Linked DNA regions of Cricetulus griseus. The protein of the gene in region 7 interacts with the protein of the main gene of each other region in a pairwise test. Links are inferred from orthologs where the notes say so. Each region holds a gene or a part of one and is shown on either strand. Other genes may lie near its edges.

Region 1 (4,060 bases), on a different chromosome or scaffold from region 7:
CCCACAACTAATCATTGAACTGAACTGGAATCCAGATGCAGAAAAGGACGAGTGAAGAGCAAAGGGGTCCAGACCAGGCTGGAAACCCACAGAAACAACTGATCTGAACATGGGGGAACTCTTGCTCCCCAGACTGATAGCTGGGTTACCAGCATGGGACTGATCCAGACCCCAGGAACATGGGTTTCATTGAGGAAACCCCGGAAACCTACTCTCTTCCTACCCCAAGGGGCAAAATCACACAGAACTGGGGCTCTTAAATGGATCTGGAGGTGACAGATTTGACAGAGCTAAGGATGGAGGGATGAGTGTTCTGGCCTTAATGCAGGTTCTACATGTGATATGTTTGGTTGTATTTTTCTATCAGAACAGTGTTTCTTAAACCCTTGGGATTTCCTGACAGGACCTCCTTTGAAACACATCAGTTTATGCTAGGGGAATGACTTTGGGGGTGGGGGGTGATTGTCAGAGGAACCAATCAGGTGATTAGAAGGTTGGAATTTTCAGCAAACGTCTACCTCTGGAAGGATTTGACATTTAGTTAAGTGATCAAAGGCTAATGATTTGATAAAATTTGCCTACATAATGGAACTCCACAAATACCTCTAAACAACTGGGTTCAGACATTGAAGATGCTGGGAGGCAGGTGTGTCCAGAGAAGGCCAGAAGGTTTACGACACTACCCTGTCAAACAGCTCACCCTTTATCATTACCATTTGGCCCCTCCTGAGCTGCATGCTTCTTAAAGTTGTGATCCTAAGTAAATTACTCTCCTGTGTTCTGAGAGACAGCTATTGAACCTGAGGAGCAGCTTAGGGTAACCCCTGCATGGCTAACCAGTTACAAGTACAGGTGGCCCTGATATGGGATTGGTACTTGAAGTAAAAGATCATCTTTTAGGGCCGAGCCCCTAACTTCTCGGAACCTGACATGTAGCTATTATCAGAGTGGAACTGGACTGGAGTTCCTCAGTAGTGCCAAGTCTCTCCAGGTCTAGACAGTTAATGTTTCTCTTTTCCTAATTAATGTGATTGAAACAGATGCCACCTCTGATGGGAGGTAGAGAGGTTCAAGCCAGCCTGGCAGTGAGGTGTGAGTGGCAGCCAGCTGACCAAACAAGGGCTATTGTGTGTCACACTGACCCGGGCTGGCCACCTGAGCACAGCCAGCAGCAATTCTTCCTTCCTGCAGAAGCCTCGTTCCCACCTGAGATGCCCGGAGAGAAACCATGAGCTCAGAAAAACACCATATTGTTCTGTGATGTCACCTCTGGAATGTTCTGAGTGTTTTGGTGACCAGCTTATGCATAGGACCTATACCTGGCACCTCACATTGGTATGGCTTTTTACTTATATAGAAATCGTAGTGTAAAACCAGGAAGAGCTGCAATGATTTCTTCTTGTAAGAGGGCTTCATATCAGTTCATTCCTGTCTTGGTTTTTTGTTCAGTGATCAGTGTCGATCAGTTCCTGATCACTGAGCAGTAAGACTTCTGGCCAGGCGCCATGTACACATGCCTTGAGACTGTGATTTTTATAAGGTATAAAATTAGTCAGAAGGACATAAATGTGTAGAAAGAGGTTATGTGTTTCAGGTGAGCCACTGAGGCCCTGAGGATGGGTTGAGAAGGAGAAATCTGATTCTTTCTTTTTCACAGCACTCGAGGCCAATTTTTACAAGAAAGAGAGATACCAGATCTGAAAGCCTAGAAATTCCAATCAATGTGGTTCTACCTCAGGTAGGGACAATCATGGAAGAATGTAACTTGCTAGAATAACCCTGTTTCCAAGCCTTACAGAATGAACAGCGAAGTCAGCCACTCAGATTCTTGTCATGTTGGTGTTGTTTTCCTGCCCATTTGTCTTGAGGAGGACACATGGATTCTCTGAACCTTGGGGTCCTCTGGCCTTGAATGAGGAGACTGAGTTGGATGGTCAGGTCCTCCAGCACTAGCCTTTCAAGATTTGTTGATACTATGACAAAAGTCTAACCTTCCCAAAGGAGACCCTTCATTGCATGGTAGTGTATAACCACTCAGGACATCTGTAGAGAACTAGAGTCAACCTTGAATCCAGATGCATAAGAATGAACACAGGAGCTGAAACCCCAGAATGGAGCCCACTTGCAATGGTCAAGAGGATTAAGCCCTGCCATGGGCCAAAGATGGTTTACTGGGGATGAATGTTCACTTGTTTCTTTTGAAGCCAGTGAATGATTAAAACACTTATAGCTTGTGGTCTCCAGATCTCCTGCACACAGCAACTTTCTCAGTGGGACCCCCTTTTACTTGAGTGTTCCTTCTGTTGCTATGTCACAAAGGGGTGGCCTTGCTTTCTCCAGTGTTACCCAAGAGCTCATTGGAAGACCAGGGTCATGCAACCAGTGGAGGAGAAATGTAGGATGGAGGGATCCAAGGCACAGGTAATTTCCCTAAAAGTTTGGTCTCAGGAGGTATGTACAAAGAGGATGGATCTCTGGCTGGTGTTCTCTATTAGTGTAATTATAATGAGCTCAGCAAATATGGTGAGAAGGAGACAGAAACACAGGACAAGAGAACCACCTGGGTATTTTTTTTCCTTACAGCATTGTAGTAAGCAGCCACAGTTACATCTCTTTCAGCTCATGATAGCTAAGCCAGATTATTAGGCAACTATGTCCTGGGCATCCTATAGAAGAACAAGGAACCTTGCTAGGTCTGATCCCTGACACATAAACTACACATCTGTGCATGAGGGTGGCCGTGGTTCCTTTGGTACCTTTATTAGCCCACATGTTAGGGGCAGACAGGAGATACCAGCCCAGATGTGGGAGTGGGAATGGGGCTGGGAATAAGATTTGAAAGTAGGTGTATTACTTGCTGTTCACATTGTTGTGACCAAATACCTGGCAAGAAGCAAGTTAAGGGAGGAAGTCTTTATTTTGGATCTTGGTTGAGGGGTAAATCTGTTGTGAAGTGGAAGCTATGGGGTGGGGCCGCTGCCTCACATCACTGCAGATCCATGTTTTTCTCAGTCCAGGATGCTAGTTCATGAGCACTGTAAGACCCTTGGAAAGCTGAGGCTTCCAGAATCTTAGCCCAGGACCTCGGCCACCCCAATCACAGAATGGAGGCGAAAGCTAGATGCAAATTGCATGAGGCTTTATTGTAGTTTAACGAGCTAACACCATGTTAGCTCGGGTCTTTGACCCACCCACCATGGCAGATGGCTAGCAAAGACAGTTTGAAGCTGCTGCATACAGATCTTTATAGGGCAGCATAAGGGGAGTGTTTAGGGGTATGCACAGGCTCAGGATTGGTGTGCCTCCAGGCTTGGAGGGTTTGCCCTGTGTTGATTGGTCAACTGGCTGTTATGGCCCATAGGCCCTCCCAGGGTGGTTGCTATGCTTTGTGCGTCATTGCTGTGCGCTTGTCCATAAAGCACACCCAGGGTCATAAAGCATAGCGCTATCAGCTAACTTCTGATTGGCTCCTTGTCACGAGGCAGGCATCTGACTTTCTAGTGACTAACTTCTGATTGTTTCCTTGTCACGAGGCAGGCATCTGACTTTCTAGTGACTAAGACAAGGTCATAGAGCACGTGTTTGGTCATTATGGCTGCCAAAAGGGAAGCTGGTCCCTTCAAGCACTAGCCACATTAAGTATGGGCCTCCCCTCTGTTAGTCCTTCCCCATAAAGTCCCCACAGACACATCAAGGATGTGTGCCTTGCTAATGCCCTGGGTGTTTCTTAATCTAGCAAGCTGACACAAAGCCTTCATTACTGCCATGCCATAGAAAGATTAGAAAGATCCATCTACCCCTGGCATGACTTTGTCCCTAGCTCCCAGCGCCAGCTTAGCAGTCAAGGAGAAAAGGTGTTTGAGGAGTCTTGGGTTTGTTCTGGTCCTTTCAGGCCTACTTCCTGTGCTGTGGGACCTGGATCTTGGAAGGCAGAAGAATATGGAAGGAAGAGGTCACTGCTGTCTGGAGATTTTTCATGGCCAGCCAGGCTTAGTCAGCAGTCATCTCTAGGTCACTTAAGTAAGCAGCTGGTGTTGAAAAGCAGGAAGAGGATAATTCT
Region 2 (4,151 bases), on a different chromosome or scaffold from region 7:
TGATTCATTTAGGGCACAGTCTTGTGAAAACAAGCTTTGACTAAAGGTCGGCTTGGAAACCACCTAAAAGAGGGGGATAAACTGAGGCTTATGAAAAAAAAAAAAAAAAAAGAAGGGGGACTTAAGTCATGCAGTCCATGCCAGGTCTGCTTTTCATGCCAAATCCACCCTCTCTCACGCAACATTCTGTGCACTGCATGGGAGAGTTTTCATCCCAAGCTCTTTGGCATCCTGGCTTCTCTGACGGTGCCACTCTCAGCCCCACTAATTTCCCCATGACATCTAAGCTACCCTGCAGAGTCCTGCTTTCCTAGTCAGGATCATGGCAATGTTTGCCCAGCAGGGACTGCAAGGATGCTGGCCCAGTCTTCCTAAGTTCCTTACAGTACCTAAGCAGAGGGGAGAGGGCAGCATGCAGGAGGGTGGACAGTGAGGAGGCCAGGAAAGTTCTCCAGATGAGGTTCAGAAGTGTGAGAGGAAGCCTGGAGCAAGTGACTCTGCTATTGGGAACTGAGAGTCTGCTTTGCAGCAGCCGCCCTCCGGGGTGTCTGGGCCACACCATAAGGCACATGGGCGGCCACTGTGCCCATCTCCTGGGCCCCAGCCACATGGAACATCTGGTCATCAAAGAAGATGTGTGGGCGGATCTTCTCAAGAAGGGGGCCTTTGGGTGCTCCGGCTAGGAATAAGGCCTCGTCGGTCTCCAGGCCCCAGCTTCTCAGGGTCTTGAGGGCCCGGGCCCCAGAACTGGCTGCACTGCGAGCTGTCACCAAGTAAGTGCGAATCGGGCACTCCAGCCGCAGGCCTTTGGAGTAGAATTTCTTCTGCAGTCTACCCAGTGCCTCCAGAAAGCCTTTCAGGGGGCCCTGTGGAGTTAAGGAGATACTGTAAGATACCCTCTCCTAAACACTTGCCCTCTCATCCTAAAGCACAAGTGACTGGCTGTTGGGGTGGGAAATCCCTAAATCTTTTGGTAGTTTTGCTCTGCCTTTCTGGCTACAACATACAGGGTTGTAGGTACCTGTAGTCTGGAGTCTGTCTTAACGTGATTGGGGCTGTGTCTGAATAACCATAACCAGGGCAACTGTTGCTAGGCTTATCTATCCACGTCTCCTTCAGCGATCTGTCCTGTAAGTGTGGCTGTCTGTGTTCATTAGCAAAGAAGGAATTTAAACTAGCTAGTAATGATGTCATGGGAGCCTGCCAGCCAGAATGGACTCTATATGTGACTATCTGGGCCAGATGGGCTACTGAATGTGAGCCTGCCTGTGGACAGACAGACCCACATGTGGCTCAAGGTCCCTGGGGTCAGGGAAAGTGTCCACAGCAATGGAGGTACTGCCGGTATGTGAATAAAGAACTTAACGGGATAGAATGTAGCTCATTTCCAAAGCAACTGGAAACAAGGAAAATGGGCTGCTAGTCTTGGGGGGGGGTCCTAACTGGGTAACCTGGGGTAAGCAGTGTTCCTCTGGCAGCTCTCTATCAACCACTCAGGGGGAAAAGTGTCCTGCCCTGGGCACCTAGATTTCTAAAAAGCTCAAACTGGAGTTCCCAGTAGGGCTGGAGAATCCCAATGCTCCATCTACAGGGAATTTAGCTCCAAGACAGGCTCTGTTCTCAGAGAGCAATTGAGAAGTATGAGGGTAGGTGAGGCTCCCTGAGCCACTTAAGCAAGGCATGGCAAGAGGTGGCCCAAGGCCACTGGCCCAGCTCCCCACACCAGTACAATAGAGTTCTTCTTGTCTCCCAGTGAAGGAAACATGGGCTTCTGGGGGGTAGGTGCTCGCTCACAAGGGGATCTTGAGGGAAGAGCTGAGGGTTACAGGGAAAGGACAGTGGATTGGGGGTGTGACTCCGAGTTTTAGGGAGGGGTGGGGACTCAGAATGGGTGTGGGGCTTCTGAAAGGAGATGAGACCTTAGAAAGGGATTTGGAGGAACAAAGCAGGGAGGCAGGGGAGGCTTCAGAGAGATGCTTGGGGAGACTTTAGAAGCCCCAAGAGGCGGGGAAGGAGACTGCATGAGGGGTGGGACTCAGTGAAGGGGCAGAGTCATTGAAAGGACCCTGGGGCCAAGTGAGAGAGAGGTTTAGAACTCAGAAGGCAGAGGCAGGCAGATCTACTCAGAGAAGCCCTGCCTTGAAAAACCTAAGGCAGAGATGGGTGTGGGGGAGTGGGGGTTTGAGTCTTGGTAAGAGGACCTGGTGGGGATGCGGGCTTAGCCAGGGTTTGGCCCTGACCTGGGAGTTCAGGCCAGGCCAGGTTCCGGGGAATGAGGGCTACTCAGGGGTTCTGGGAATGCGCAGCACCTGTGCCAAAGGTTTGTTCTCATGGGCCTTCTCATGCTCGAAGAATCTGTCCAGCCCATGGGCCTTGACAATGCGCTCTGACTCATCAGAGAAGAGTACTGCGTCCCCATCGAAGGCCACGCGGAGCTGACTCTGGGACACAACCACGTCCCTGCTGGGGCTGAAGATGGTGGCAGCTGCAATCCCTGCACACAGAGAGGTAAGTGTTGTCTTCCAGGAGACAGGAGAAGGTATCTCATGCTGTCCTTGCTCCACCAGCTTCCCCAGGACTGAAGGCAAGCCTAACAAGGACTCATCATATTGAGGACATTTTAAAATCGGTAGTCCGTGAGTACTGGCTACAAGAACACGCAGCAGCTATAGCTTTGAGGGTACCCATCAAGGTCTAAAGGCCACCTCGTTAATATCTTCGTGGAGAGCTCTGGGGGTGTCCCTGGGCAGCAGGACACTGAAAAGCTATTTATCAGCCAGCATGAAAAAATTTGAACAATTTAACATTGATGATGATGCTGGTATGGACTAGCCAAACAACAGTCTTGGCTGGGAGCACAGGACTGCTACCACCCTGTTCTGTTTGGAGTTCTTCACCCCAGACGGACCTGCAGCAGACAGGGAAGCACACCTTGAGACGCAGCCACTCCTTCGCTATTGGTTCCAAGTTATATACTTTCTCTGGGCCAAGGTAAAATTAGGGTTCTTTCAGGTCTGTATGAGGCTGAGCCCTCAGGCTGCAGTAGAGATGGGTGGGTGTGGACACCCTGTCTTCAGCCACCCAGCACCCAGGTACACTGCTGTCACATTGGTTCAGACTGTGAGATAATGTGCTCGGTCCTGGGAGACAATATAAGCTACTTGTGATACTATGTATAGACTTTCTGCAACCACTGTTCTACTGCAATGCAAGGACACCAGTCAGGGACCAAGACTCCAGATTAAAATCAGCTGAATCCCCCTCAATAGTTATCATCTCTCTACAGGACTCTTCTACCCTGCTCCTTGGGAATCTAGGATCACCGAGGTAGACTTCCACAGAGCTCTGGCAAGAGCTATCAGTACAGGTCTGACAGCAGCTTCACTAGCCTAAGGATGCCCAGGGTAGGACTACATCCTGAGTATCAGGCTATGTACCTTCTCAACTCTGTCAACCTAATGCCAAGATGACCCAGAAGCACCCTGTTCTGAGCAGGAAATCCATCTAACCACACTCCCAAGACCAAAAGTCAAATTCCACATGCACAGAGGCACACCTGCAGGTTAGTTAGTTCCCAAACCCCAAACAAAGGGTGTGATGTGTTTAAGGAAATGCCCTCTGGGTCCTGATTAGAGAAAGCCTCACCTACAGAGGGACTACAAGGAAAGGAAAAGAGGGCAGTTAACAGAGGAAACCTGAGTGTCCAGCCTGAGTACACATCCAGGCAAATGGGCAGTCAGTCTTCCCTCCTCTGTGGGCTCCTGTTGGGAGGACTGAGACCATGTCTGTCACCCCAAACTGCCCCTTGAAAGGGGAACAGAGAATGGACTTTTCATTATCAAGAGTCCCCTAATCTCACCATAGCACTGGCCAGCCCAGCTGTGGAAGATGACCATTTCTGAAAGCCTACCACTCAGGCTGGGCTAAATATGGACCTTCCCTCTTTCTCATTGGCCCAGTGATGGATAGAAGTTTCCTGATCACATAGGAATCAGAACTCCCATCAGCCCAGAGGAATCTTGGAAAACAGTAGCATTCTGGGCTGTAACGCAAGTTTCTATGGAAACAGAGGGCTAGGTGATGCTGATGAATGTACACTGTGGGGCAGGAGATGGGAAGGAGGATTAGGTAGGGCTTTGTTTTCACTTTAC
Region 3 (3,500 bases), on a different chromosome or scaffold from region 7:
AACAGTGGAACTACAGTAGAGACAGAATTGTAAATTTCATAGTTTTTACATTCTTATACTTAATTTTTCTATTTTGAGAGTACAAGAATTCCCTTCCCCACCAGGATGCTGAAGTCCAGACTTCAGTTTAAAAATCCTTTTCCAGAGGGTTCGAGAGATGCCTCAGCAGTTAAGAGAACTGGCTGCTCTTCCAGAGGACCCAGGCTCAATTCCAGCACCCATATGACAGATCACAACTGTCCATACCTCCAGTTCCAGGGAATCAGACACCCTCACACACATATACATGCAGGCAAAACACCAGTGCATATAAAAATAAAATTAAATAAATAAAAAACCCTGTTCTGTTCTGTTGCACAATCATACTTTCATTTCCCTCAAGGCATCAAGCTTACCCAACCCAACCCTTTATCTCTAAAAGTCTCATGTAGGGCCCTTTATTTCTCATCTTGCTGCATTCACCGAGAGCTGGAATATGCCTGCACCACACCCAGCTTAGCTGTTTATTCATTTTCTAGGATTCCCTGCTTAACATCTCAGTAAAGGGACCCTCCTAATACCTTCTACTCTCAACTCTGGGTCATGGAGGATGGTCCCTAGAATGGCACATTTGAACAAAGATACTGACTCACCATAGCTGATGGATTTGTCTGCCTCTCTCGTTCTCGCCTAATCTCACTCTCAATAGATTCACGAATGGCCAGTTTACAAGCACGTTGGCAAATCTCTGTCAGATCAGCTCCAGAAAAGCCATTTGTCATCTTAGCCAGGAACTCCAAATCCACATCCTAAAGGAAGCAAAAAAGCTACTTAGTTTAGCATCGTTAACTGCCTCCCATGGGACACATAGATCTTTGAGCTACTCTTGGCTCTGCCACCCCATTTTATTCTGTATCTCTTAAATTATCCTAATATTCACAAATCTCTCATATTGCCTTTAGAAAACCTACAAATCCCCAATGGCATCCTATCCAGGATAGAAAAAAAGGCTTCATGGCTGACAACTTTGCACATGCCTTGGCAACTGGAGACTTGCGCAGGTTAGCCTTCAGGATGGCAACACGGGACTTCTCATCAGGAAGTGGGATATAGATGAGCTGATCAAGACGGCCAGGTCTTAGGATAGCAGGATCAATGATGTCAGGCCGGTTGGTAGCTCCAATGATAAACACATTCTTTTTTGTGGACATGCCATCCATTTCTGTCAGGATCTGATTGATGACTCGGTCAGCAGCTCCACCACCATCTCCAATATTACCACCACGAGCCTTGGCAATTGAATCTAACTCATCAAAGAATAGTACACAGGGGGCAGCTTGCCGTGCCTGGGAGAAAGAAAGAGATCAACTCAAATATTAATTAATCTCTCAAACTTCAGAAGAAAGCAATCACTGAGCTGCCAGTAATAAAATAGTTTTGACTATGAAGAAATAGCCTCCTATCTTACCTTGCCCCCAAACATATGAACAGCCAGCCTCTGAAAACTCACCTTGTCAAAAATTTCCCTGACATTGGCCTCAGATTCCCCAAACCACATGGTGAGCAGCTCAGGACCCTTGATAGAGATGAAGTTAGCCTGGCATTCATTAGCAATGGCTTTGGCCAGCAAGGTCTTCCCACAACCAGGAGGTCCATAGAAGAGAACACCTTTGGAAGGGGTCATTCCAAATTTGAGGAATTTGTCTGGATGCTCCACAGGATACTAGAAGAAAGCAAAGATGATTTAAGGGCAACCTCTCAATATTTTAAATAAAATCGTTATTAATCAGAAGCATAGGGCTGGAGAGGTGGCTCAGCAGTTAAGAGCATTGACTGTTCTTCCAGAGGTCCTGAGTTCAATTCTCAGCAACTATCTGGTGGCTCACAACCACCTTGAATGATATCTGGTGCCCTCTGCTGGCATGCAGGCAAACATAATAAATAAATAAAATCTTTTAAAAAAATCAGAAGCATATCATCTACTTTGTGGCACATCCTATGGTCTATGGTGCTAGTTTTTAAATAGGCTCCTTACTACCTAAAACTCAGTAAGAGCAGGCTTCTGAATTATAGTCACAATTCTAAGTAGATTTGAGTCTGAGACCTAAACGGCCAATTACTATACATTGAGGCAATGACCCACCACCCTAGAGCAAATTGGCCTACCTGAACCAGTTCCTGAAGCTCCCGTTTGACATCTTCCAAGCCTCCAATGTCTTCCCAGGTTACTTGTGGCACCTCTACCACAGTTTCCCGAAGTGCTGATGGGTTGCTTTGACTCAAGGCCCACTAAAAAGGGTGTTTGAAAAAGGGGAATGAGATGGAGGGTGGGGGGTGCATACAACAAAATAACTATTTGTGGATATAGTCCTTACCCGGAAATCATCCATAGTAACTGCCAAGGAATTCATGACCTCTGCATCAATGGTCTCATCCTCAAGATCAATAAGGTCCATTTTTTTCCGGATGGCCTGCAGAGCAGCCTCTGAACACAGGGCTGCCAAATCAGCACCTACATGGCCATGAGTCTCATTGGCTACCTGCAGAGAAAAGATCTACTGACTATCCTCAAGAAACCACTTCCTTAAGAAGTCAGAAACAGAATCCTGAGTCCACCCCGATTCCTATCTCTGATTCCTTTTATTTCCTTAAAGAGATATATACTACAGCAGACCTTTTAGTGGCAAGTATTAAATACTTAAGCCTGGATTTGGGAGCTAGAAATAAAGCTGTTCAACAATGTATGAATTACTCTTAACAGAGCAACAATTAAGAAACACATTTTCTACCCTGAAATCAAAATAAGCTCCATGCAGCTCTAAAAAAAAAAAAAAATGAAAAGATAGACTCTTGCTGGGTAGCCCACACTGACCTCAAACTCAAGATCCTCCTGCCTCTGCCTCACCCTCCCCAAATTCTGGGATTACTGATATGAACTCTTATCTTAGACTATGTTAGTAGTCCCTTGCAACTTCCTAAAAACAGAGCTACCCAAGGTTTTGGCCAGCCATCATCACCACTCCACCTGTTCCAAGTCCACATCATCTGCCAGTTTCATGTTCTTGGTATGGATCTGAAGAATTTCCAAGCGTCCTGTAGCATCAGGGATTCCAATATCTACCTCTCTGTCAAAGCGACCTGTGGGAAAATGCAGGAATGTAAAATAGGAACAATTTCTGGTCCACAGTGAAGTCACTCCAAAACTCTCTTATTTAGAGTTAACATTAATGCCTCACAACCTGGAAATTCTTCAGGTTTAGGGAAACCAAGACGGGTAGTTACTCTAGAGCAATGGTTCTCAACCTGTGGGTCACAACCCCTTTGGGGTCAAAGGGCCCTTCCCATATCAGATATTTACATTATGATTCGTAACAGTGGCAAAATTAGTTATGAAAGTAGCAACAACGTAATTTTATGATCAGGGAGCTCACCACAACATGAGGAACTGTATTAAAGGGTGGCAGCATTAGAAAGGTTGAGAACCACTGCTCTAGAGGGAATACAGAATAGAAAAAAAACAA
Region 4 (4,164 bases), on a different chromosome or scaffold from region 7:
AAAATGTAGCTAGGTATTGTATATGTCTGCAATCCCAGCACTTGGGAGGTGAAGGCAGGAGGACCATGAATTCAAGGCTGGACTTACCAACACAGTGAGCTCTGGACCAGGCTAGGCTACATGAGACCTTGACACAAAGAGAGCAAAAAGCAAAAAAAAAAAAAAACAAAACAAAACAAAACAAAACAACAACAACAAAACAACCACAACAAATAAAAGAAAAACCCAGCCCAACTAACAAAACACAAGAAACATAACACAGAGCTGAGGAGTCTTGGACACCTTATGATTTCTAATGGTCAAACCTGGTTAAAAGAGAGCCAAACTAAATAAAAACAAGTCTGCTTTCTATTTCAAATAAATGTATGAACAATTGCATTTGAACATCCCAGTGAGTTTCACCCAACAGCCCATATAGGACTTGTAGCAGAAATCCAATACTAACCCAGCAAGGCACTCATCTGGAGTAGCCGTGCTCACCAGCAAAGAATCGTGCTGCACTGAGATAACAAGGAAGAGTAGCCTTACTTACTTTCAAAACCTACTCCCTCCATCCAGAAATGTCTCCTTTATTTACATGACAACACCTTCTGAACAAAGACGCTTATTCTACTAGTGTTCTCAGAGCTGCTGAAACTTGGCCAGGACTGACAAAATCCTGCAATATTCAAACCTAGCTCCATTCTTCTCCAAAGTCCCAGAAACCTCCATATATTAAACTCTACAAAGGGAGCTGTGGATGTAGCTCAGTAGTTGAGTCTTCCTGCCTAGCATGCACAAGGACCTGGGATCCATCCTCAATACTGAGAACAAACAAACAAAGGCAAAGTGACCTTTATATGTTTAACTAAGCTGATCTCAATCCCCCTATGCAGCCAAGGATGCTTTTGAATCCCTGCTTCTCTTGATTCTTCCAAGCAAGTGCTGGGATTGTAGTGTATGCTACAACATCCTGTTTTGATATAGTACAAGGGACCAAATCCAGGGCTTCATGCATGTTTGGCAAGCAACTCTGCCAACTGAGCTATATCCCCAACCCCAAAGGAACATTCTTAGCCTGAGTTGTCTACACAGTAATAACATCTGCCATCTGCTCCTCCTATTATCATCCAAGGTGTGTAACTGGAGTTTACCACCTAGAAAAGGTCACATGTGAAGCACACAGCCTTTAGAAAAAGATTATCTTTGCCATCGATATTAGCCTGACTCTTAGCTGGGTCTGGTCCCACAGATACCTGTAATTCTAATACTTGGGAGTAGGGGCAGGGGTCTGAGAGTGTGAGGCCTGCCGGAGGCTACACATGAATTCACCACGCTCCTAGATACTATAGACAAACCCAGTCTCAGAAAACCAAAATAAAACAACAACAAAAAATGTCCCCAACTTCACAAAATCTCGATTGACTTAAAGTCGTCAAGATTTTCTTTCTTCTGGAAACATCAAAGTTTTAGATTTGACATTTCTGTCTATGATCCATTTAATTAATTTTTTGTAAATATGGAGAATGGTGTGTGTGTATTTTTTTTCTGTAAACTTTTGGAACCCTAACCTTGCCAAACATAAAATGTAGAATTGTTATCTTTCACTGTGCACTGCATAGTTGGTTACCTGGGTTAAACAGAATGAGGAAAAGAAATTGGTCTCCCTTGGGACAAGGAGTACCCCAGTCCACTTTTGGAGGAGGGCTACTGCCTGCCTGGTTGCACTGAATACTGGTGACCACCTCTTGCTCACGTGTGAAATGGGTGGAATTTTTCCCAAACTAGGGTCTGGCGGCTGGCTGTAAGCAGTTGAGCTCCATAAACACAAAGAAGCTATTAGTTCGCGACATTTGATGCAGTAAAGTTAAAGGAAGCCCAGGGGCGCCCAACACGTGCGTCCTGCGTTCACAGGCTCTTTCCAACTCTCACACAAACCCACCCTTCTGGATAAGGCAGTGCTCAACACACAGGCTGCTCGGGAAAGTCACCTGAGCAGCTGGCAGCACTCTGATCGCCGGCGGCTGGAAGTTCGAAAGTTCCCCAGGTAAACCCAGTGCCCCGGACCTGTGCAGAAGTTTTTCGACCAAGCTCAAGTCTGGGGCTTCGCCTGACAGAGTCGGAAACTGGGGCGGGCGGATCCACAGATGTCTCCCTGCCCCCACCATTCCCGGCACCGATGTGATGCCCACAGGCTGCGCCCACTCTTTCAGACACGCTGTGACTGCACCGATGTCGCCCTTCCGGACTGAGTACACCAGGCGCAAAAGAGGGGCTTGGGGTGCCTAGGGGGTCGACAGGTCGCCGAAGTCAGGGTGCTGGAGGCCGGGCCACCAGAGGGACAACAGCGCGCAGAGACTCCAGGGTGACGGGGGGGGGGGGTTCCCTTGCTGGACTTCTTTCTCCCTGGGCGCAGCCGCGGTGGCTCTGAAGCCGCCGCGTTGCTGCTGTCCCGCCCCGGAAGGGTGAGCGCAGCGCCCTCGGAGGTGGCCCGGGCATGCGATGGCTCCTGCCTCAGCCCCGATGTGACTCCCACCTGGTCTCCTGGTTGCTGAACTTCTTGGTAACCACCTTGCCCAGCTCCAGGCCCAGGCGATCGGCCACGCGCTGCGACAGGTCCTGGTGAGAGCTGCCGCTGAAGAGCACGATGTTGGGCATGGTGATGTGCGGGGATTGAGGGGCACGCTGCAAAAGAGAAAGCGACAGCGACGCAGACTGCTGCTACTGCTGCTACTGCCTCTGGCGCTGGCGCTGCTGTTGCTGCGGCGGTGCCCGCGGTTGCTGGTGGAGCGGGAAAACGCGGCGGCGGGACCTAGGGGAGGGGAGGAGCTGGGGGAGGAGCCAGAGAGAGAGAGAGGAGGAGGAGGAGGAGCAGCGGACTAGTTGCTGGAGGGTGTTGGGAAGCGGCTTCTGCCCACGCAGGCTGGGCAGCAGGTTGTGAAGTTCTGGGTGGCCCAGAATTACCCAGGTGCGATTGTTTTGGAGGGGAACGCGATGTACTTCACTTTACCTCTCTGACTTGCTTTCAAGTGGGGACATCAACGAATCAGATGGAGTGGGCACAGAGAACGAGCGATTGCGGCAAGGGGCCATAGGGGTGTCTCGCCTTTCAACCCGGAAGCTCAGAACCCAGAGGTTATACTTAGGGTTCAAGTGCACCCAGCGTCCATGTGGGAGAGACCCACACAGCGGCCTGAATTTGCACCTGAGAGTGAAGCGTGTTTCACTTTGTGTGACGGTGTACACTACCTTTGAAGCTGGACTAGGCAAAAGAGTTTCCCACCAACGAGAATTCCCTTTCTCATTAATTTAGACGTGTATTTTGAAAAATTATCTCAAATACTACTTTGTTTTCGATTTTCCATTAATAGCTGAAAATTCGTTTTCTTCCATATTATATAAATGCCTACGCAAAATCTTCTGTTTTGCCTCTTGGTCCACGAAGCCTGAAAATTTTAGCGTCTGGTTCCTAATAGTTAAGTGTGTTGCTCCTTGAAGGAACCATTAATGTGAGCCACCATTTGAGCCCTAAGCTCAAGTGCAAGGGGGGAAAACCTGTTTTCAGGTGGCCCATTGACTCCACCCAATGGGCTTGGAGTCCTCATTTTATGTAGATAGGCTGGTGCTCTGGCTCCCTTCACAACACTCTGTCTCTTGGGCTCTATTAATGTCTACAGAGAATTGACTTGTCATCCACAGCCAAGGCCATTTGCAGCTGAATTGTAGCCCACTCTAAAGGTACTTCCTGTGTTACTGTGATTAGGGAGATTGTTCATATCCTTGGATATTTAAAATCTGGATCCTTTCTAGTACTTTGCAAATTGGATGTAAACCATAGTGATGCAGACCTTTAATCTCAGCATTCTGGAGGCAGATACAGGTGGATCTCTGTGAGTTCAAGGCCAGTCTGCTCTGTTTGTCAAAACCCAAGCAAACTGGATTTATAAAAGTGTTTCTTTTGAAACTCCAATGACCTGCTTACCTGCCCCTTTTCATTCTGTTTACAAAGGTGTGTATCTCCTATTGCACTTTTTAAGCCAAGGTGATGATGTAAGTAAGCTCATCAATTGGGAGTTTAAGATGCCGATCAAAAATCCCAGGCCAGCCTGTGGTACCTAGTGAGACATTGTCTCAAAAACAACTGAAGCAGCAACAATCTACCTACTGTGGGTTTTAAGCTACACC
Region 5 (3,500 bases), on a different chromosome or scaffold from region 7:
TTTGCGCTGGGGACCTGATAAAGGCAACAGCTTAGAGAGGGAAGCAGGAGAGGAAATGAGGCCTCTGGGGTGGAACTGGCTGCACGGAGACCCTTAGACCTTCAGAAGTGATGTTTATTGCTCTTTCATCTAGGGCCCAGTCAGTGCTGCTCCTGGCAGCCTGGCACATTTAGCTCTGGCTCGAAGTTTGCAGACCTACCTGCCTGCCTCCCTTTGGTTTTCAATCTAGTGTCTGTGGTGTTGGGTAATGGGGACATGAGCCACCTGGTCATTGTCTGTCTCACCTGCATTCCACTCTGCCCCATCAAGGGTGTTAATACCTCAGGGTCAGGGAGGGAAGGTGAAGCCCCATATAGGCAGTCCTCTGGAGGTGACCCTGGCATTGTGGTAGCAGGTAGGTCTTTGTAGCAAATTGATCCTTATAGATTATGGGAGGTGAGGCTGGCTGGCTTTGGTTATTGCTAACTAGCCCTGTAGTCAGCTAGATATAAAACCTCTGGATAGAACTGACCCCGTGTAACCTTCCTCTCGAACCCAGGTTTCCCCAGCCCTCTCCTGAGTCCAGTGTGCTCTCACTTGATCAGGCCAGGCTGTAGAGCAGCCATCAACAGAGACTCACTTGGGTGGGGTTCAGCGTCTGTCCCTCTCTCCCTTCCATAATCCTCATTGCAGTCTAAGGAGATGTTGGGATGTCCAGTGGGGATGTTGGAGAGGTCTTGTTTATTTATCTGCACTGCTGAAGAGTGTACAGTCCTTGAACCTGCTTGACAAGTGTCTTACGCCTGAGCTGTATCCTCAGCTCTCTTTCTTTTACTTGACACAGGACCTCACTAAGTTACCCATATTGGCCTTAAACTCACCCTGTAGCCTAGGCAGGCCTTGAACTTGTGATCCTCTGGCCTCGCCTCTCCAGTGGCTGGGATTCCAGGTCTGCAGCAGTACACCTATCTTCTTTTTATAGATGAGGCTCAGAGGTCCCACAGCTTGCTCCTGGCAATCTAACTAGTAAGCTCTGTGCTGGAACTACCTCAGGCACTAGCAGAGTTCAGTGCCAGTGGCTTAAGCCTCAGCTGTTGGTCAGGGAGGCCCCACAAACCAAACTCCAGCACTGCTCAGGCCTGGACCCTGGTGGCATGTCCAGCTTCTGACTCAGGTACCTCCTATAGGTAGTGCTGGCCATGCCCTACGACACACCTGTGCCTGGCTATCGAAACAACGTTGTCAACACTATGCGCCTCTGGTCGGCCAAAGCACCTAATGACTTCAACCTCAAGGACTGTGAGTCCCTCTGCCGGTAGCTGGCAGCCTTGGTTAGCCCTGCCTGGCCCATGCCCATATCCCTAGCCTCACCCCAATCCACTTTGTCCCTCAGTCAACGTTGGTGGCTACATCCAAGCTGTGCTGGACCGAAACCTGGCTGAGAACATCTCACGCGTCTTGTATCCCAATGATAATGTGCGTTGCCCTTCAGTTTGGAGGCTGGAAACCCAAGTTCTTGGAGAGGGACAGGGGAGCTGGGCGTGGGGACCTTTGCAACTGTCCTAGTCCCACTGTATTGCTGTCCCTATGTGTCCTATCAGATCCTTTGAATCCCAAGGAGGGGGTGGGGTATGATATTTCCTGGGAGCTGTCTCCCTGGGGACCCTCACAGGACTCCTAGTTCATCTATGTCTTTCTGATACTATCTGCTACAGTTATTTGGTGGGGCAAAGGCTCCAGGGTCCAGAAGATGGGAGCAGTTTAGGGCTCTGGGACTTAGTGTGGTAGGGGCTCTCCTGGTCACACCCACAGCAACTTAGGGCTCCACACCCTGCCACCCCAACTACCCTCTGCCTTGTACCTCCCTTAGTTTTTTGAAGGGAAGGAGCTTCGGCTGAAGCAGGAGTACTTTGTGGTGGCCGCCACCCTCCAGGACATCATCCGGCGCTTCAAGTCCTCCAAGTTTGGCAGCCGTGATCCTGTGCGCACAAACTTTGATGCCTTCCCCGATAAGGTAGCCTGCTGGCCCGAAGGCTTCTGTCTCCCCATCTCTTAAGTCCCATGGCCTCCTCCTTCCACAGATGTGTGGAAGCTGGACGTGTGTGGGGGAATGGCTTGCTCAGTATCTTCAGGCACCAGGCAGACCACTGCAGCTTTCCTTCTCAGTCAGCTGCACCCTACTCCAGCTGTCACCAGGCCTGCTCCCAGACCAGCCACATAACTACATTGGGCCTTTTAGGGGCTCTGAAGGGGCAAGGAGCATTCACAATGGTGCTTGCTCTGGGATCCATCCTGACGTCCCACTCATCCCCACAGGTGGCCATCCAGCTCAATGACACCCACCCCTCTTTGGCTATCCCTGAGCTGATGAGGATTCTGGTGGACCTGGAGCGGATGGATTGGGACAAGGTAGATTTCATTCAATTTACCCTTACAGGTGCCACTTTGCCTCCAGGGTCTCCTTCCCAGTGTGAGGTGGAAGGACAGTAGGGGGCCAAACAAGGAGAATCGACCAGAAGGCTGGTTGAAACCCAGCTGGGCTCTGGCGGGAGTTGGGGGTGGGGGTGGAGGTGGGGACACGCCGGACACGACACAGGACGACGACACGCGGACGCACAAGCTACACGGCGCGTGAAGAACGTGTCTTGACTTCTTTCCTTGTATGCCAGGCCTGGGATGTGACAGTGAAGACCTGTGCCTACACCAACCATACAGTGCTGCCGGAAGCCCTGGAGCGCTGGCCCGTGCACCTCATGGAGACACTGTTGCCCCGGCACCTGCAGATCATTTACGAGATCAACCAGCGCTTCCTTAATGTGAGCTGGGCCGGTGTGGCAGTGGGTCCCTTGAAGTCAGGAGGCGTATGGGCTGAGCCTGTGGGGGGAAGGGGGGTCTGGAGACTAAGGTTCCTGGGTCAGGATCCTGGTCTTAGCTCTGGGCTCTTTTGGGGATACAGAGGGTGGCGGCCGCATTCCCTGGGGATGTAGACAGGCTGCGGCGCATGTCACTCGTGGAGGAGGGCTCAGTGAAGCGTATCAACATGGCACACCTGTGCATTGCTGGCTCCCACGCAGTCAACGGTGTGGCTCGCATCCATTCGGAGATCCTCAAGAAAACCATGTGAGCCTCTCCACAAGCCCCGCCCACACCACTCTTCCGCATGTGGACCCTGCCGTTTCACATGGCATCAAACAGGGCCTCCTGGGCTGATCCCTCCCCTGAGTGCATCAGTTCTAGCCTTTCACTCTGTGGTCACGCAGGGCAGGCCTAGCGGCAAGCATCCATAACGCTGAGCCGTCTCCCCACCTCAGGGGTGACCCATTCTTAGAACACACTAGCCCCTTTCTGGTACAACCCTGTTCCAGAATCTGCCCCAGGTCTGCACCTGCATCCTAGCCCCTCTCAGGAAAAAAATAAGTAAATAAAGTAGGGGGCCAGGTGGGAGGGCTCTGCAGAGGTGAATGGTGACCCTCACTCAACCCCAATCTGCAGCTTCAAGGACTTTTATGAGCTGGAGCCTC
Region 6 (4,273 bases), on a different chromosome or scaffold from region 7:
ATGGTTATAGAGCACCTACTGTTATTGCAGAGAACCAGAGTTCGATCCCCAGCACCCACATCAGATTACTCACAACTGTTTGTAACTCTTGCTCCTGGGGATCTGACACCTCTCTATCTTTGTTTGGGTCTCTATTGCTGTGAAGGGACACCATGACCACTTTAACTCTTAAAAAGGAAAAGATTTAATTAAGGTGGTGTCTTATAGTTCAGAGATTCAGTCCATTATCTTCAAGGCAGGGAACATGGTAGTGTACAGGCAGACTTGGTGCTGGCTACACCTTGATCTGAAGGCAACAGGAAGTTGACAGGTAGTGGGGGGTATCCTGAGCATAGGAAACCTCAAAGCCCACCTCCATAGTGACACCCTTTCTCTAATCACTCCAACAAAGCCATATCTCCTAATAGTGCTATGAGCTTATGGGGGGGGTTGACCACCTCAAACATAGACATACACATGAACACATAAACAATCACAAATAATACCAGATGAGACGCCTTTAATCCTAGTACACAGGGGACATAGACAGGTGGATCTCTAAGAGTTAGAGATCAGCTGGGTCTACATAGTGAGACCTTGCCTCGAAAAAACAAAACAAAACAATAATAATTAAAAAAAAATCCTCTTACATCTCTGTGAGTTTGAGGCCAGCCTGGTCTACAGAGCAAGTTCCAGGACAACCTCCAAAGCAAATACAGAGAGACCCTGTCTCGAAAAAGAAAACAAAAGACGTATAGGAGGAGAAAGCTTTGTGGGGCGTTGGTGGTTTAATCCCAGCACTCGGGAGGTAGAGGCAGGAGGATCTCTGTGAGTTCGAGGCCAGCCTGGTCTACAGAGTGAGTGCCAGGATAGCCTCCAAAGCTACAGAGAAACTCTGTCTCAGGAAACCAAAAAATCCTCTTACAACAATAAAAAAATTCTTCTACTGAGTTTCCTACCATCCAAGGCTACTATAATTCTCCGCTCTCTAATAATAGGCTTGCTCCTTTATCACTAAACTTCATGTAGGTCTATTTGATTTTCACTTCTGCAGCGATTTCTCAACCTTATTTTTCTTCCCTGCTCTGATCTTTCTTCACAGCACTTACATAACTCCGTGCGTTCACTATCAATTTCTTTTCATTGTTTGTCCCAATTTTCAACCCTCCCAGAAACCTCAAGTGAGTTTACTGCTTTATCCCTGGGTTCTAGAACAGTGCCTGCTGGGCACATAGTATTTAGTACATTTGCTGCTTGACAGGGCGAAGAGAAGCGGAGTGACTGGGGCTTTAGTTCTATTCCGTGCAGTGTGAGCGCCACCTCCCGGGCAACCAAATCGTCTCGGGAACGGAGGAAGTGAGTTACACGACAGTAGGGGCAGGAACAAAAGATGGCCGCCAGCCGGAAAAGCCGGGGAGGGGGCGGGGGGATACACACGACAAAAACAAAAACCACACCCAGTGCCGGAAGTTAAACCCTGGAAAGAGTGCCCTCCTACTCACCGGAGGAAGCGGGGACTGGCGGTGTTCCACCAAAAGGGCTCTCCTGAATCAGAACTGTTCCGAAAGGTTCCGTGCGAGCCGCTGCTCGAAACCACGTGAGGCCAGGACGTGTTTCCGGTGCAGCCGGAGAGAGAGACTGGCTTCTGAAGGGGTGAGAGGGGTTCGGGTGCTGAGGGAAAGGGAACGTTGAGGGCCTAGGTAAGCGGAGAGGGAGGTGGGTGTGAAATGAAGGGAAAGGGGTGCATTCTCTGAGAGGCGTTGAGGAAGATCGCGGCCTCGACTGTGGACAGGTGCAGACCTGTCAGCCTGACACGTGGGCTCGCCTTTGTCTGTGGCCGCAGTTCCTGTCAGACTGCGCCGGCACGGCTGTGCCTTACCCTCCTTCCAGCCCTGTGCTGAGCGCAGAGCTTGCTGAATAAATGACACGTGTGTGTGTGCGTGTGTGTGTCTGTGTGTCTGTGTGTGTGTGTCTGTGTCTGTGTGTCTGTGTTCGGTGTGCAGAGCCTTTCATAGGGGCTGTTTCTGAGGGATCTATTCTTGTTCCACATTCCTTCAGAGATTCTCCAGCTTGTCTGCGGGTTCTGTCTGTCTTCGGAAGGCATGATTGGCCTTTTAAAGCATCTTCTTTGCTCCTATTGACTGCCAGGCCCTGTGGCTTGGAATCAAAGCAGGGGCTGGAGTAGATCAACTCTTTTATGCAGGTCACAGATCCGAGAGGCGGGAGAGGGGAGGAAGGCACCAACAGAAATGATCATTAAAAGATTATGTATTATTGTATGTTCCTGTGCATGCATGCCTTAGCACACTTGTGAACACACCAGAAGACAACTTCGTGGAATGGGCCCGAGGGACCAAACTCAGGTTTGTGGTACAAAAACCTTTGCTCACTGAACCATCTAGCTGGGTCAGGCCCCATTCTTTATTTTATTTTATTTATTTTTACTTTTGGCTTTTAGAGACAGGGTTTCTCTGTGGCTTTGGAGGCTGTCCTGGAACTAGCTCTTGTAGACCAGGCTGGTCTCTAACTCACAGATCTGCCTGCCTCTGCCTCCCGAAACCTGGGATTAAAGGCATTCGCCACCACCGCCCGTCGCAGGCCCCATTCTTAATGTATAAAATCAGAGGTTAATTCATGTTTAGGCAGCCAGGTCCAGGAGCTGGTGTTTCTATCCTCTTAGGTATTGTCTTTCAAGGTGGAGTCTTCTTTCATTTTGTGGGATTGTGTTCCCTGGAAATGGAAGGTTCTGGAATGGATGCTCTCCAGGTGTCTTCCCTCAGTGATGATGAATTGTGCTGTGGGTCTCCCATAAGCCACTGTTCATTGACTACTCATTGCACTTTCCCCCAGTACACAGTTTAATAAATGTTAATTGCTATTCTTACTAATGGACCTTCAATTTTCTTGTCCTTTTATTCTCTGACAGTTTTATACATGTATGTAATAGTTAGTCATCCCCCTCCTCCATTACAATCTTTGGCTCTCCTGTTCCTGTTGAACTCCTTTCCTGTGAGTCCCCTCCTACCTTCATGTCTTTGTGTGTGTGTGTGTGTGTGTGTGTTGGGGGGGAGACTGAGTTTAATTAGAATTGCGTGCTTCATTGATGGAGGAGTTAATTGCTGGAGCAGCTTACCCATGGCTGTATCCCTGAAGAAAATGATACCCACTCACCCACAGCCGTTAATCACCGTTAGCTTCCTAGGCAGGGGTAAGGCCTTGGGCCTATGAGTCCCTCCCCTTCTGTGATGGAGCATAGTCATTGCATCTTTTCTCTCTTTTCTCTTGTTTCTTGAAACAGAGTCTTATGTAGCTCAGTTCAGGTTGGGATCATTGACATGGGCTACCACACCTCCCCACTACGCTCAGCTCTATTTTCTTTTCATTCCCCTTTTTTCTTTTTTGAGTCAGGGTTTTAGGTTGCCCAGGCCAGCCTGGAATCCTCTGCCCTTTGGCCTTAGCCTTCCTAGTGGTAGGATTATTGGCACACATCCTCAGTCATTACATCTTAGGGAGTATCCCAAACTGTATAGGGCTGGGAAATCTTATTCTTTGTAGAATGAAGATTGTTGGTTTTTTTTTTTTATTTTTTATTTATTATGTATACAACATTCTGCTTCCATGTATATCTGCACACCAGAAGAGGAAACCAGATCTCATAACGGGTGGTTGTGAGCCACCATGTGGTTGCTGGGAATTGAACTCAGGACCTCTGGAAGAACAGTCAGTGCTCTTAACCTCTGAGCCATCTCTCCAGCCCCCAAAGGTGGTTGTTATGACATAGTCTCTAAAACTCTTGTGGGTTCTAATGCTGTTGGTCATACTGTGTTGAATCAGATGTAACTTTCAGTAGGAAAACCATATCATTGCATTTTCCCCTTACTGGTATTACCACAAGAAAAAAAAAATTGGTATCTTTTTAGTGTGTCTTAGTTTTATGTCTCCCTTTTTAGTTCTATCACAGTATTAAGTACATAACAGAAGCTCAATAGGAGTGTATGAAATCAAGTAGATTAGAAATTACATTTCTTCTTTTGAACCCTTTTCTACTTTCAGATCAAAATTCATTGATGAGTGAACTGGGCAGGGATTGGGATTTTACTAGAGAGACTTAAAGTAGACATAATATATTAAATCCAGTTTTATGAGAGAGTAATCCGCTTGAGAAGGATCATGATGAGGGAGGGTAGAGATTCTGTCCTGTTTCATTCCCTGCTTATCTCTCCAGGACCATGGCCAACAGTGAGCGCACCTTCATTGCTATCAAGCCTGATGGGGTCCAGCGGGGTCTGGTGGG
Region 7 (4,203 bases):
ATTCAAGCTGAAGCCGAAGCAATAAATTGGTAACAGACACAAACACATGTTTATTTTATTTTAAGGACTTATGGGTTTTGGAAGGCAGCTACATTCACCAATATACCACCAGCACAGCACTTTATGGGTTTTGGAACTGAGGTTGAGAGTCTGTGGGTGGCCTAGGCCTATAAACCAATCTTAAGAAGTACAGTTTCTTTCTCTGTCTCTCTCACTCTCTCTTTGTAGGTAAGTTCCCTGAGCAGTTACACATGTTCATTACAAACACAGGCAACTAGGAAATCTAAAGAGACGGTTCTCTATGTCCTTCAATCACTGTGCATAAACACTGTTTTGACAATGTTGGTGTCTTTCCTTCTGCAAATAAATACAATTAATACAGAATGCTACCCAGACTCTTTAATTTTTTTTTCTTTTGAGAAAAATTCTTATGTAGTTCAGGCTGGCTTTGTATTCAAAGCCATCCTCACACCTCAGTCTCCCGCATGCAGGGATTACCCAGCACCACACCTGGCTAGAACTTGTGCACTCACTAGATCAGTCTATCTTTCTATATATAAACACATGCATATATAAGTACTCGAAAATTGAAAGAAATTAAACAACAATATGGTGAGATTTGGGTGCAACCCCTCGGTTAGTTTTTTTTTTTTTCCTCTTTCTAGGTTCCTGCTCTGAAACTTCAGCTTTCAAACCCAAGCATCTCTTTCTTTCTATATAAAAGGTTGCATATATAAATAGCCAAAATTGAAAGAAATTAAACAACATTGTGGTGAGATTTGGGTGCAACCCCTCGGTTAGTAGTTTTTTTTCCTGCTCTGAAACTTCAGCTTTCATGCCCAAGCATCTCTTTCTTCCTATATAAAAGGTTGCACAGATAAATACCCCAAAGTGGAAGAAATTAAACAACACTATGGTGGGATTTGGGTGCAACCCCTCGGCTAGTTTTTTCCTGCTGTGAAACTTCAGCGTTCACGCCCAAGCATCTCTTATTTTAGAGCGGGCTGGCAGCCTCAGCGATGGATGAAGGGGGTCAGGAAGCTCACACCTGACCGTCCAACACCACCAGGCCTCCCACCCCCCACCCGATGGCGACCAGGTCCACGCAGCGCAGCGCGAGCGCCCCAGCTTGGCCGGGGGAGGCCTCTCCGTGGACCCCACCCTGCCTCCCACCTCGTAAAGCCGGGCGAGCAGCACACAGATCTATCTCCTCCGCAGCCTGGGACTCGCCGCCCGCAGCAGCAGCTCCCGCAGCCCCGCCCCGCCCCCAGCCCGGGCTCCACCCACTCCAGAGACCCCGCCCACCCGGAACCACGCACACACACAAACACCGGGCTCCGCCCCCATGGCGCGCTGAGCCCCGCCCACCGGCTCTAAGCCCTTCCCCCCGGAAACGGCGCCTGGCGGGCGGTCCGGGCCGTGTGCGCTCCGCCCGGGGCGAGTGTGTGCTGTGCCGCCGCTGCCGCCGCTGCCGCCGGCGGGTCGGGTGCCTGTCCCTCGGGCCTCCATGGAGGGCGACGGCCCCGTCGCCTCGGTCCCGCAGTACCAGCCGGCCTGCCCTGCGCGGGACGCGTGTGTCTACAGCAGCTGCTACTGGTGAGCGCGCGGGCGCGGGCGCGGGCGCGGGGCCCCCGGGGCGCCGCCAAATGCTTCCCCGTCCCGGCGCTCTCCGGAGCGCTGCGGGCCCGCACCGTCCGCGGGAGGAGGGGGCGAGCGCACCCCTGCTCCCCGGAGCTGAGCGGAGGCGTCCCCAGTGCCTGGGGACAGACTGAGGTCCCCGTGGTTTCAGATCCAAGTGCAGGGCGTTTTTCATCTTGAAGACAACGGAGACCCAGAGTTTGTTTTTTGGTTTTTTTTTTTTTTGCAGATTTTTTATTTGAATTAGAAACAAGATTGTTTTACATGTCAATCCCAGTTCCTTCTCCCTCCCCTCCTCCCCTACCACCCCCCCAACTAAAACCCTACTTATCACATATCCTTTTTTCTGTTCTTCCCCTGACTCAACTTTTCTGCTCCCTCATGACCTCTGCATCCCTCCTCTTCTTCCCTTCTCATTCTCATAGCTCCTTTCCCTCCTTTTCCCATGCTCTCAATTTGCTCAGGGGATCTTGACTCTTTCCCCTTCTCCAGGGGACAATGAATGTCTCTCTTAGGGTTCTCCTCGTTTCCTAGCTTCTCTGGCAGTGTGGATTGTAGGCTGGTAATCCTTTACTCTATGTCTAAAATCCACATATGAGTGAGTACATACCACGTTTGTCGTTTTGTGATTGGGTTACCTCACTCAGAATGGTTGGACAGAGGGTTCTTTTTTAAATTTTTAATGTTAATCATTTTTTTATTTGAATTAGAAACAAGATTGTTTTACATGACAATCCCAGTTCCCTTCTCCCTCCCTTCCCCCCCACTACCCCCAACTAAAACCCTACCTATCACATGTCCTTTCTTCTATTCTTCCCCTGACTCAACCTTTCTGCTCCCTCATGACCTCTGCATCCTTCCTTTTCTTCCCTTCTCTTTCTCGTAGCTCCCCCCCCCTTCCCATGTTCTCAATTTACTCAGGGGATCATGACCCTTTCCCCTTCTCCAGGGGACCATGTATGTGACCCAGAGTTTGAGGTGGCGGGAAATCCAGTCAGGCAGCAGACAGCGCTGTCCTGATCATCACAGCACTGTGGTGATCATGGTGGTGGTAATGGTTGCATTTGCACCGTCCTCGTCCTTGTCCTCACCAGATGCCAAGCGTGATCTTAGGTGCTTTGTGTAAATGGACTTGGTTGAACGCCACAGCAACCCCCAAGAGGCAGGTACTGTTGCAGTCAGAACCTTGAGGGGGCTGGAGAGATGGCGCATTGGCTAAGAGCACTGGCTGCTCTTCCAGAGGACCCGGTTCAGTTCCCAGCACCCACGTGGCAGCTCACACCTGTCTGTAATTCCAGTTCCAGGGGCTCTGATGCCAGTGTGCATAAAATAAAGTTAAATATATTATTTTAAAATTAAAAAAAAAAGAACTCTGAGGCGCACAAGGTACGGGATGGCTGTTACTCAGGGCCTCAGGTTGTGAGGCTACTTGTCCTAGGCTGCCGCTCGCCGCTCACCTTGGCTTTTTCATCTCCACACCTTTTCTCTTGTGTAGGGACTTCTTCCCCAACCCAGGAGAAACCTCAGGGTCATCCAAATCTACTCCTCCCCCCTTCACCCGGCCACTCAATCAATGACACTACGAACTTAACGTTTATTCATCTGTCACCTTGGTAGCCCAAGTCCAAGTGCCCCGAGTGGTTCTCAGCCTTCCTAATGCTGCCACCGTTTGGTACATTTCCTGATGCTGTGGTGACCCCCAACCATAAAAGTATTCCGTTGCTACTGTAATTTTGCTACTGTTACGAATCATAATGTAAATATCTGATAGACGACCCCAAGGGCTCGTGACCCACAGGCAATGCCTTGGAGACAGGTTCTATGATCATTATCACCAGGACAAGTTGAGGGATCATCTGTGAGCTTGAAAAACCTGTCCATCTTAGGGTTTTACCCGGAGTGTGGATGTACAGGAAGTAGAGTGGGGGGTGGGAGGGTTAGAAGGATGCTTTGCTCGTCTCTCATTTCATTTATTTGTTTGTTCATTTATTTATTTATAATGTGTATGGGTGTTTTGCCTGTGTATCTGCCCATGCACTGAATGTATAACTGGTATCCAAGGAGGCTAGTGGGCTGAGTCTTTGGGAGGAGCAGCCAGTGCTCTTAACTGCTGAGTCATCTCTCCAAACTGCCCCCCCCCCCACCCCCAAGACAGGATCTCACTGTCTGTCCTAAAGCTTGCTACGTAAACCAGGCTGGCCACCAACTCACAGAGCTATGCCCACCCCCACCTCCTGAGTGCCGGGATTAAAGGCCTGGGCTACCATGCCAGGCTTGCTGATCCTATTTTGTGGGATACTCTTAGAGATAGGGAACAAAGTCCATCTGAGTATCAGTGGCTGTCTGGTTTATTTGTTCAAGGCCTGTGTTTTTCCAACCTCATTTTGAACTTACCTTCTCTGGCCTGTTGCAGGGTTCTCAGCTTTGGCTCTGTTGGCATTTTGAGTATCAAGCCTTTGTTCCATGAGTTTTAGGGTAGGTAATTACGTTTCCTGGCCTGTATCAGACAGATGCTATTGCCAGGTTCCCACACCCCCCAAGTTGTGACAGGTAAACACTTCTCTA

The links.
Region 1: the proteins of protein N-terminal glutamine amidohydrolase (region 7) and Cby2 interact in binary tests that used the Homo sapiens proteins (3 or more experiments, as listed by UniProt). The two-hybrid records come from large-scale screens. The link is inferred for Cricetulus griseus from reciprocal best matches to the Homo sapiens genes NTAQ1 and CBY2.
Region 2: the proteins of protein N-terminal glutamine amidohydrolase (region 7) and Nt5c1a interact in binary tests that used the Homo sapiens proteins (3 or more experiments, as listed by UniProt). The two-hybrid records come from large-scale screens. The link is inferred for Cricetulus griseus from reciprocal best matches to the Homo sapiens genes NTAQ1 and NT5C1A.
Region 3: the proteins of protein N-terminal glutamine amidohydrolase (region 7) and Vcp interact in binary tests that used the Homo sapiens proteins (3 or more experiments, as listed by UniProt). The two-hybrid records come from large-scale screens. The link is inferred for Cricetulus griseus from reciprocal best matches to the Homo sapiens genes NTAQ1 and VCP.
Region 4: the proteins of protein N-terminal glutamine amidohydrolase (region 7) and Prps2 interact in binary tests that used the Homo sapiens proteins (3 or more experiments, as listed by UniProt). The two-hybrid records come from large-scale screens. The link is inferred for Cricetulus griseus from reciprocal best matches to the Homo sapiens genes NTAQ1 and PRPS2.
Region 5: the proteins of protein N-terminal glutamine amidohydrolase (region 7) and Pygm interact in binary tests that used the Homo sapiens proteins (3 or more experiments, as listed by UniProt). The two-hybrid records come from large-scale screens. The link is inferred for Cricetulus griseus from reciprocal best matches to the Homo sapiens genes NTAQ1 and PYGM.
Region 6: the proteins of protein N-terminal glutamine amidohydrolase (region 7) and nucleoside diphosphate kinase A interact in binary tests that used the Homo sapiens proteins (3 or more experiments, as listed by UniProt). The two-hybrid records come from large-scale screens. The link is inferred for Cricetulus griseus from reciprocal best matches to the Homo sapiens genes NTAQ1 and NME1.

What each region holds. Positions count from the first base shown.
Region 1 is NW_023276807.1:229,960,913-229,964,972, reverse strand, and holds the start of Cby2 (protein chibby homolog 2), read left to right. Parts: upstream 1-1,260; coding exon 1,261-1,335; intron 1,336-1,657; coding exon 1,658-1,738; intron 1,739-2,373; coding exon of another isoform or gene 2,374-2,421; intron 2,422-4,060.
Region 2 is NC_048595.1:29,783,641-29,787,791, forward strand, and holds the end of Nt5c1a (cytosolic 5'-nucleotidase 1A), read right to left. Parts: intron 2,495-4,151; coding exon 2,310-2,494; intron 867-2,309; coding exon 501-866; downstream 1-500.
Region 3 is NC_048595.1:100,551,592-100,555,091, reverse strand, and holds part of Vcp (transitional endoplasmic reticulum ATPase), read right to left. Parts: intron 3,118-3,500; coding exon 3,005-3,117; intron 2,520-3,004; coding exon 2,355-2,519; intron 2,269-2,354; coding exon 2,146-2,268; intron 1,703-2,145; coding exon 1,490-1,702; intron 1,326-1,489; coding exon 1,017-1,325; intron 789-1,016; coding exon 633-788; intron 1-632. UniProt on the Homo sapiens protein: Necessary for the fragmentation of Golgi stacks during mitosis and for their reassembly after mitosis. Involved in the formation of the transitional endoplasmic reticulum (tER).
Region 4 is NC_048604.1:102,122,873-102,127,036, forward strand, and holds the start of Prps2 (ribose-phosphate pyrophosphokinase 2), read right to left. Parts: upstream 2,801-4,164; 5' UTR 2,638-2,800; coding exon 2,516-2,637; intron 2,280-2,515; exon of another isoform or gene 2,148-2,279; coding exon of another isoform or gene 2,047-2,147; exon of another isoform or gene 1,971-2,046; intron 1-1,970. UniProt on the Homo sapiens protein: Catalyzes the synthesis of phosphoribosylpyrophosphate (PRPP) that is essential for nucleotide synthesis.
Region 5 is NC_048596.1:52,966,922-52,970,421, reverse strand, and holds part of Pygm (glycogen phosphorylase, muscle form), read left to right. Parts: intron 1-1,166; coding exon 1,167-1,278; intron 1,279-1,372; coding exon 1,373-1,455; intron 1,456-1,849; coding exon 1,850-1,993; intron 1,994-2,295; coding exon 2,296-2,388; intron 2,389-2,648; coding exon 2,649-2,795; intron 2,796-2,935; coding exon 2,936-3,099; intron 3,100-3,471; coding exon 3,472-3,500. UniProt on the Homo sapiens protein: Allosteric enzyme that catalyzes the rate-limiting step in glycogen catabolism, the phosphorolytic cleavage of glycogen to produce glucose-1-phosphate, and plays a central role in maintaining cellular and organismal glucose homeostasis.
Region 6 is NC_048600.1:106,879,626-106,883,898, reverse strand, and holds the start of nucleoside diphosphate kinase A, read left to right. Parts: upstream 1-1,473; 5' UTR 1,474-1,632; intron 1,633-2,282; exon of another isoform or gene 2,283-2,342; intron 2,343-4,201; exon of another isoform or gene 4,202-4,204; 5' UTR 4,205-4,208; coding exon 4,209-4,273. UniProt on the Homo sapiens protein: Major role in the synthesis of nucleoside triphosphates other than ATP. The ATP gamma phosphate is transferred to the NDP beta phosphate via a ping-pong mechanism, using a phosphorylated active-site intermediate.
Region 7 is NC_048603.1:29,486,347-29,490,549, reverse strand, and holds the start of protein N-terminal glutamine amidohydrolase, read left to right. Parts: upstream 1-1,403; 5' UTR 1,404-1,507; coding exon 1,508-1,596; intron 1,597-4,203. UniProt on the Homo sapiens protein: Mediates the side-chain deamidation of N-terminal glutamine residues to glutamate, an important step in N-end rule pathway of protein degradation.